2 linked regions of the Macaca fascicularis genome follow. The protein of the gene in region 1 purifies or fractionates together with the protein of each later gene. This does not show direct contact. Links are inferred from orthologs where the notes say so. Each region holds a gene or a part of one and is shown on either strand. Other genes may lie near its edges.

The links. Proteins that work in one complex are often made in the same cells at the same time.
Region 2: the proteins of CDK7 (region 1) and ERCC2 purify together in Homo sapiens (affinity purification with mass spectrometry; 10 studies listed by BioGRID and IntAct, counting the BioPlex papers as one, with this or other methods). This does not show direct contact. The link is inferred for Macaca fascicularis from reciprocal best matches to the Homo sapiens genes CDK7 and ERCC2.

What each region holds. Positions count from the first base shown.
Region 1 is NC_088380.1:74,914,547-74,918,756, reverse strand, and holds part of CDK7 (cyclin-dependent kinase 7), read right to left. Parts: intron 4,103-4,210; coding exon 4,069-4,102; intron 1,942-4,068; coding exon 1,874-1,941; intron 1,090-1,873; coding exon 1,021-1,089; intron 1-1,020. UniProt on the Homo sapiens protein: Serine/threonine kinase involved in cell cycle control and in RNA polymerase II-mediated RNA transcription. Cyclin-dependent kinases (CDKs) are activated by the binding to a cyclin and mediate the progression through the cell cycle.
Region 2 is NC_088393.1:53,406,076-53,410,285, forward strand, and holds part of ERCC2 (general transcription and DNA repair factor IIH helicase subunit XPD), read right to left. Parts: intron 4,072-4,210; coding exon 4,002-4,071; intron 3,916-4,001; coding exon 3,846-3,915; intron 3,743-3,845; coding exon 3,641-3,742; intron 2,139-3,640; coding exon 2,075-2,138; intron 1,263-2,074; coding exon 1,141-1,262; intron 1-1,140. UniProt on the Homo sapiens protein: ATP-dependent 5'-3' DNA helicase. Component of the general transcription and DNA repair factor IIH (TFIIH) core complex, not absolutely essential for minimal transcription in vitro.

The sequences.
Region 1 (4,210 bases):
AGCCTGGCCAACAAAGTGAAACTCCATCGCTACTAAAAATACAAAAATTAGCTGGGCATGGGGATGGGTGCCTGTAATCCCAGTTACTCGGGAGGCTGAGGCACAAGAATCGCTTGAACCTGGGAGGCAGAGGTTGCAGTGAGTTGAGATCACGCCACTGCACTCCAGCCTGGGTAACAGAGCGAAACTCTGTCTCAAAAACAAAAACCAAAAAACAAAACAAACTTGGCTTTCAAAAGAATGACATTACTCTGGTTACATGGAAATAAGCTTCTTTATTTTTTAATATAATTTTTAAAGTAGAGACAGGATCTCACTATGTGGTCCAGGCTGGTCTTGAACTCCTGGGCTTAAGCAATCCTCTTGCCTTGGCCTCTCAAAGTGCTCAGAGTACAGGCGTGAGTCACTGCACCTGTCCGGAAATAAAATTCTTATACGTTGGCTGGGCATGGTGACTCATGCCTGTAATCCTAGCACTTTGGGAGGCTGAGGAGGGTGGATCACTTGAGGTCAGGAGTTCAAGACCAGCCTGGCCAACATGGTGAAACCCCGTCTCTACTTCAAATATAAAAATTAGCCAGGCATGCTGGCACCTGTAATCCCAGCTACTTGGGAGGCTGAAGTGAGAGAATCACTTGAACCCAGGAGGTGAAGGCTGCAGTGAGCTGAGATCATGCCATTACACTCCAGGATAGAGTAAGACTCCATCTCAAAAAAAAAAAAAAAACTTACAGGTCTAATGCTCATTTCTCCAAAAATGACGTCAACTAGCTATGGGAACTTGGAAGGGAGAAAGGCCAATGAAATCCAAATCTTTGTATGTAACACTGGGAATATCACTAAATGATTAGAAGAAAATAACTCAAGAGATCCTTTTGACTTAGAGTATATCCAAATTTCAACAAAATTAAGCTTTTTTTTTCCTTTTACTAGCAGTATCTTCTTAGGTAGAAAACAAGTATTTAGGTTCTTGTTTGATAAACTGGGACAAAGGAATTTCTCCAGGAATCTTAATCTTACCTCTAGATCAGTTTCCATAAAATCAAAGACAAGGCTAATATTAGATTTATGTCCAAAAGCATCAAGGAGCTGCAAAGTAAAAAAATTAAAATGTGATTCACTATTTAATACCTGACAGTATGATAGCAACTGAGGCAATTTTTTAAAATTTAAAAAGCATTTAAACTGTTGGTAATTCCCTATAAAGCTTAAATCATTTGATTAATTTGACATTTTCCTTTTTTGGACAGTACTAAAGGAATTAGTATTTTGAAGCACAAAAATATTAAATTTTACTTAAAAAAAATACCCAACCTCTTTCCCCAAATATTTGGAGTTATAATTAAGAAATTAACCAGTGAAAACCTCATTCCAGTCTCCAATTTAAAAGAAAAGTCCCAAATGTGATTCTTAAGAACTCCTCTAAATAACAGCGGCTATCATTGAATGAATGAATACATTTTCCATGGCAGGCACTATTCCAGATACATCTGTTCAATTGGCTAGTCTCACAACTACCCTATGGGGCAGGGACTCCGGGGAGTTGTGAGTAAACACACTCAAGGTCTCACACAGGCAGAAAGAAAGGTTTTGAATTCAGGTTCACACTCTCAGCCACTATATGCTAGAGCTCCCTAGACTTCAAAATTATTTCTGACAAAATTAGCCTACATGTCAATATTTCATTTATTTAATCAGTGGTATAGTTTTAAAGACAACGTCTACCAAAACAACTGGGATAGGAAATGTATTTCCTTTAAGCTTCTGTAAGGCTCATCTAGAACAAGTCATCTTGCTGAGCCTTTAATCAACATCCATTATATTAAGAAAAGGCAGAGTCCCAAATCCCAGTAACAGTTTTGATCATACTCACACCAATTATATTTGGATGACTTAGCTCCTGTAATAATTTTATCTCTCTTAAGGCTGTTCTATTTATACCTATATAAAAAGGCAAAGCAAAATGTGAGTAATTCTGAAATCTCAAACCTTAAAAACACATTTTTTTTTTTTTTTTTGAGATGGAGTCTCACTCTGTTGTCCAGGCTGGAGGGCAGTGACGTGATCTCAGCTTACTGCAACCTCCACTTCCCGAGTTCAAGCAATTCTCCTGCCTCAGCCTCCTGAGTAGCTGGGATTACAGGCATGCGCCACCACGCCCAGCTAATTTTTGTATTTTTAGTAGAGACAGGGTTTCACCATGTTAGTCAGGCTGGTCTCGAACTCCCGACCTCGTGATCCACCTGCCTCGGCCTCCCAAAGTGCTGGGATTACAGGTGTGAGCCACCGCGCCCAGCCACAAACATATATTTTTAAAGAAAGGTTAGTCACCTCAGAAAATAGTGAACATTCCACACAAAAATAAGGGCTACTTTGACAATTTTTATGTGAAATCTGTTGTTCTTTTACATTGCTTTATTTTTATTATTAATTTTTTTTGAGATGGGGTTTCACTCTGTCAGCCAGGTTGCAGTGCAGTGGCATGATCTCAGCTCACTGCAGCCTCCACCTCCCAGATTCAAGTGATTCTCCCACCTCAGCCTCCCGAGTAGCTGGGACCACAGGTGCGTGCCTCCACGCCTGGCTAATTTTTTGTACTTTTGTTAGAGACAGGGTTTTGCTATGTTGGCCAGTCTGGTCTCGAACTCCTGAGCTCAGGCGATCTACCCGCCTCACCCTCCCAAAGTGCTGGGATTATAGGCGTGAGCCACCGTACCAGGCCTATATTGCTTTTTTTAAAAAATAGCTTAACAAAGACTATGACAAATGGTGAAAAAAATTTCACTTTATCTATAGGATATCAGGATCTGAAGACCATCAGACTAAGAACATATATAAGTGTGCAGCATATAGATGATAAGCTTCCCTACTCTTGCCCTACAAATGTTAGTGGCATATTGTTTGTGCTAAAAGCAAACTAGTAATAAGACAGTATATATTCCAATACAAATGACAGATTTCAAAATTAAAAATAAGATATAGGCCAGGTGCGGTGGCTCATAATTCCAGCACTTTGGGAGGCCTAGGTGGGCAGATCACTTGAGGCCAGTAGATCGAGACCAGCCTGGCCAACGTGGTGAAACCCCATCTCTACTAAAAATACAAAAAATTGGCTGGGCGTGGTGGCACGCACCTGTAATCCTAGCTACTCAGGAAGCTGAGGCAGGAAAATGGCTTGAACCCGGGAGGCAGAGGTTGCAGTGAGCTGAGATCGCACCACTGCACTCCAGCCTGGGCAACAGAGCATGGCACTGTCTCAAAAATAAATAAATAAAATAAAAATAAGATATAGTATTGGCACTTACACAGACAATGGGTCTCTTTTATAAGAGCTATTTTATGATGACTCCTAATAAATAAGACTTTGGAAGAAAGTTTAATGAAATCCTTTCCCCATATATCTATTCCATAGTTAGCTTTATGTACTTTCATGAAAATGTATCCTGAATTTTCAAATTAGAAACTCAGAAACAGAAAAAACAATGGCTTGTAACACGTAAAACCGTAATGAAGACAGAAAGACAAACTAATTAAGCTTGCTGCCTTCCATTTATGTGGGTGATTTAGAATGTTTTTCTGAACATCCAATTGGTAAAAATCACCAAATACTACTCCTCTATCCTGAGTCTATCTTTACTCTTCGGGGACACTGCAGTAACTCTATCCAGAACCACTGCTAACTCTTATTAATTAATACTTTGCTAGTTTCTTCAGTGAGAATGAAAACTTTATGCTGGGCATGGTGGCTCAAGCCTGTAATTCCAGCACTTTGGGAGGCCGAGGTGGGAGGATAGCTTGAGGCCAGGAGTTTGAGAGAAGCCTGAGTAACACAGCCAAACCCCATCTCTACAAAAAATAAAACATTAACCACAAGTGGTGGCATATGTTTATAGCCCTAGCTACTCAGGAGGCTGAGGTGGTAGAATTGCTTGAGTACAGAAGCTTGAGGCTGCAGTGAGCTATGATTGTGTCTCTATACTCCAGCCTGGGTGACAGAGCAAGACCCTGTCCTTTTTTAAAAAAAAGGATAAAACTTTTCCTATCTGTCAGATTACATGAAATACTTACCATCTTTAGCTTCTGATCTATGTCCAAGTTTGATCTGGTAGAGAGGGAAAAAAAAACCAAATATATTAAAAACGTGTTAAATTATTTAGAATCAACAAATAATATGTAAACATTTCAAATACTTCACCACAGCAAAAACACA
Region 2 (4,210 bases), on another chromosome or scaffold:
AGGCAAGCAGAGTCAATCAGAGGCTGCCCTGAGATTTCCCATATGACACTACAATACAGACTGTGGAGCCAGTGCAAGGACACAGACCAGTGGGACAAAATGGAGAGTCCAGAAACACACAGCCACCTGTGCAGTTCAGTGGGGAAAGCTTTTACTGGAGCAAGTGGATTTCCAAATGGAACCAAAAAATGAACCTTGACCCCCTACCTTACACCATATAGAAAGATGAATTTGAGGTACCTCATAGACCTAGATGTGAAAGCTAAAACCACAAGCTCCTAGAAGGAAACACAGCAGCCTCTCTTCATGACCTTGGGGTATTTAAGACAAAGTTGTCTTAAATAGGACACAAAAGGCACCTGGGCTGTGGGGACTGGATCACCTTTCCGCCGTGTGGAAGCCACCTATTGAAGCACAAGGCCAAGGTCCCGGCTGTGAGGATGAGGTTCCTGCCTCCCATGAGTGCCATTCCAATACTTGGATTAGCCAGGTTCACTCACCTCGCCCCAATGTGCTTTCACCCACTCCTGAGAGCCTGGCCATGGTGTGCTCAGAGGCACAAAGTGCAGAGTGGCCTCCCCTCCCACCCAGGGACTGGCTGTGGTGAGCCCTGTTTCCAGAATGCCCCATGACTTCCTCTGCCTGCTTCCCTGAAAGGGCTCCTGCAGACCCTTGAGAGGCTTTGCCCTGAGTCTCAGTCCAGCCTTGATTCTCTAGAACCTTCCTCTAACCTAGATAGAGTCACACCTGCTACCTGGGCCTCCCCACCAGGCCATCTGTGCTGGAGGATCACAGGGATGGGGTAGCCCCAAAGAGCAGCAGGGGAGCAAGGAACCTAGAAGGTGGGGGTGACTCCGCCACAGGGTACTCCTCTGAGGGAGGGGCCCACATTGGGGCTTATGTCTGCGTTCTCAGCCTGATGTACTGGGGGCGGGGCATAGGGTATGTGCTGCTTACACCCCATTCCTACATGCTGCATGCACTCTCCTGTCACACAGGACACCTGTCACCATCAGAGGGTAAGAGGAATGAAGCTGACATAGCAGTGTAGTGCCAGGGGCTGAGGAGAACAGGTGACTCCCCTCCTGCAGTGCCAGGGGCTGAGGAGAGCAAGTGCAGGGAGGGGGTGGCCAGGCATACCTGCTCATACCAGGAGGCCACGGTGCTCTCCATGTACTGGTAGCTGGTGAAGAAGGCCACGATGCCATCAGGGACCACAGCAGACATCTCCAGCAGGAGGTTCCCGTAGTTCCGGATCACAGCTGCGAGGAGTCAGAGGTTAGGCCCTCTCCTGTCTCAGATCCTCCTCCCTTCTCTGTCTTCAAACTAGAGTTTCTGGAAACCCCACTGAGGCTGGCTGTCAGGCTATTCACACACATCCCCTTCCTCCTCCTCCCAGGCGTGTTTGAGGACCCTCCTTGCCACTTCCTGAAGTCACACCTGGCTATGTAATTTGCCATGGCCAATGAAATCAGTGCAGAAGGGGTCAGGCGCGGCGGCTCACGCCTGTAATCCCAGCACTTTGGGAGGTCGAGGTGGGTGGATCATCTGAGGTCAGGAGTTTGAGACCAGCCTGGCCAACACGGCAAAACCCCATCTGTACTAAAAATACAAAAATTAGCCTGGCGTGGTGGCAGATGCCTATAAATCCAGCTGCTCGGGAGGCTGAGGCACAAGAACTGCTTGAACCCGCAAGGCAAAGGTTGCAGTGAGCCGAGATCATGCCACTGCACTCCAGCCTAGGTAACAGAGCAAGACTCTGTCTCAAAAAAAGGCCATGTGTCACTTCCAGGGGAGCACCCTTAGGAACCAGTGCACAATTCACTGTGACCACTGTGATCCCACCTGTCATATCACGCTGCCTCTGACGCACCCAGCGATGGAGGTTCCCAGGTGAGGAGACACAGGGCAGGCCCCCTACCAGCTCGCAGTGGACGTGTCCCATGGGCAAGAAGGAAGCTCTGGGCTAAGCAACTAAGGCCAGGGACATTTGTTACAGCAGCGTGACTCAGCCCATCTGACTGATACACCTCCCTCTTGGAACCCACAGAAACCAGCCCCACTGGCAGCATACCAATATCCTCCCGGGTCTCAAATTTGGAGCTGATGGCCACCTGGTCATTGCCACGGCCGATGATCTGAAGAGAGCAACAGAGATCATGATAAGCGAGGCAGCAGCAACTGCTCCAGCGTGTGAGTGCTGACCACCTGCTGGTGCTGTTCTAAGCTTTTTTTTTTTTTTTTTTAATAGAGACAGGGCGTCACCATGTTGCCCAGTCTGGTCTTGAACATCTGGCCTCAAGCGACTGTCCCACCTTGGCCTCCCAAAGTGCTGGGATTATAGGAGTGAGCCACCACACCCAGTCTGCTCTAAACTTTTTATTAACACAGTGTCACTGAATGAACCCTCAGCTACCCTGGCCTCAGAAAAGGTGAGTTGCCTGCCCAAGGTCACACAGTGAATAGGTGGCAAACATGGAACTGGACCCGAGTCTGTCCACACTCTCCACCAGCAGCTACACTCTAGCCAGCCCCAGGCCCCAGGCCAGCCGGATCCCGAAGAACACCCCTCACTATGCCGGTGGGCATCCCCGCCAGCCGGCAACCTCACACAACCACCATGCAGTGGGTGGTCATCACTGGTCCACAACCTCTGACAGGGCAACTCCAAAAGCCAAAAGCTCTGAACACATTTCTTTTTCAGTTTGGCACAAACTCATTAAGTAGCAAAACCTGCCCTGCCCTGAGTCTCTGCAGAGGCCTGACTTACTCCTTAATGTGATGCTTCCAAATCTTTTACTGCCAAAATAGGAGTTTGACTCGGGGGAGCCACCCAGACCCCACTGGGGGCGTCACACACTACACAGCATATGCCTTGTCTCTAAAGGCTGGAAAATTCTGAATTCCAAAACAAATGGCTGCGCGCAGTGGCTCACACCTGTAATCCCAGCACTTTGGGAGGACCAGGTGGGCAGATCACTTGAGACCAGCCTGGCCAACATGGTGAAACCCTGTCTCTACTAAAAGTACAAAATTTAGCCGGGCGTTGTGGCACACGCCTGTAATCCCAGCTACTCAGGAGGCTGAAGCACGAGAATCACTTGAATCCAGGAGGCAGAGGTTGCAGTGAGCTGAGATCCGTGCCATTGCACTCCAGCCTGGGCAACAGAGCAAGAGTCCATCTCAAAACAAAAAACCAGCCTCGGGACTTCAGATAAGGGACTGAGGGCCCATGTTGACATGTACATGTTACAGAGATGGAGATGGACAGGAAGGCCCACTTACCTGGGTCACAGCCAGACCATGTACCCGGCAAAGCCACGTTAACCAAGATGCTGAGTAAGCGCCTACCTGTGCCAGACCCTGGGGTACCTAAGTGTTTTACCCCAGTTCTCTCTCAATCCTCTCAACCGCCCTGGGAGATCAGGGAGGATACATTCCCATTTCACAGATAAGAAAACTGAGGTTTGAGAGTTGTACCCCCGGAGAAGCAGAATCAAGCCTAAGTCTGTCTGAATCCCAAACCCGGCCTCTTCACTGTAAAACTCTCCTGCCTGAGCAGTGGGGGAAGCCAAGGAAGGGACGCAGCCCCTTGCTCCCACCTCCCCTCCCAGTCCCAGCCCTAGCCTCTCCCACTCACCATAGGGCAGAGGCAGACCCTGGCCAGCGTCATGGTGAAGGTTGCCATGGTGACGGGGTGGAAGTCCAGGATCTTGGGGTAGATGTCCAGCGGGGACAGTGTCTGTAGGGGGGACAGTGGGAGGGATCTCAGCAGGACTGGGCAGGGACCAGGAGGCCCATGGAAGGAGGCCAGGGACTGGGAGGAACAGGAGAAGGGCCCTCACCCCAGACGTGATGATGACAGACTGGAAGCGCTCGAATACAGGTTTGATGGCCAGCGAGGCGTCCATGCAGCTGGAGAGAGATGAGGGCGGTGAGGGCCCGGGGGGCTGGGCCCCTGACCCACAGTGCAGTCACACCCCCACCGGGCAGGGTCCCACCTGAAGTGCAGGATGGGGTTGGCAATGGTTGGGGTTCTGTCGTCAAAGGGCTCGATGATGATGGTGAAGCCTGCAGAGGGCAGGCAAGGACGGGTGAGATTACCCCACTACAGCCACAGCTGCACCCACTCAGCCATTCCCTCTCCCGCTCCCTTGCTTCACCCCAGTCTCCATCCCATACTGCCCAGGAGTGAATGGGACCAAACATG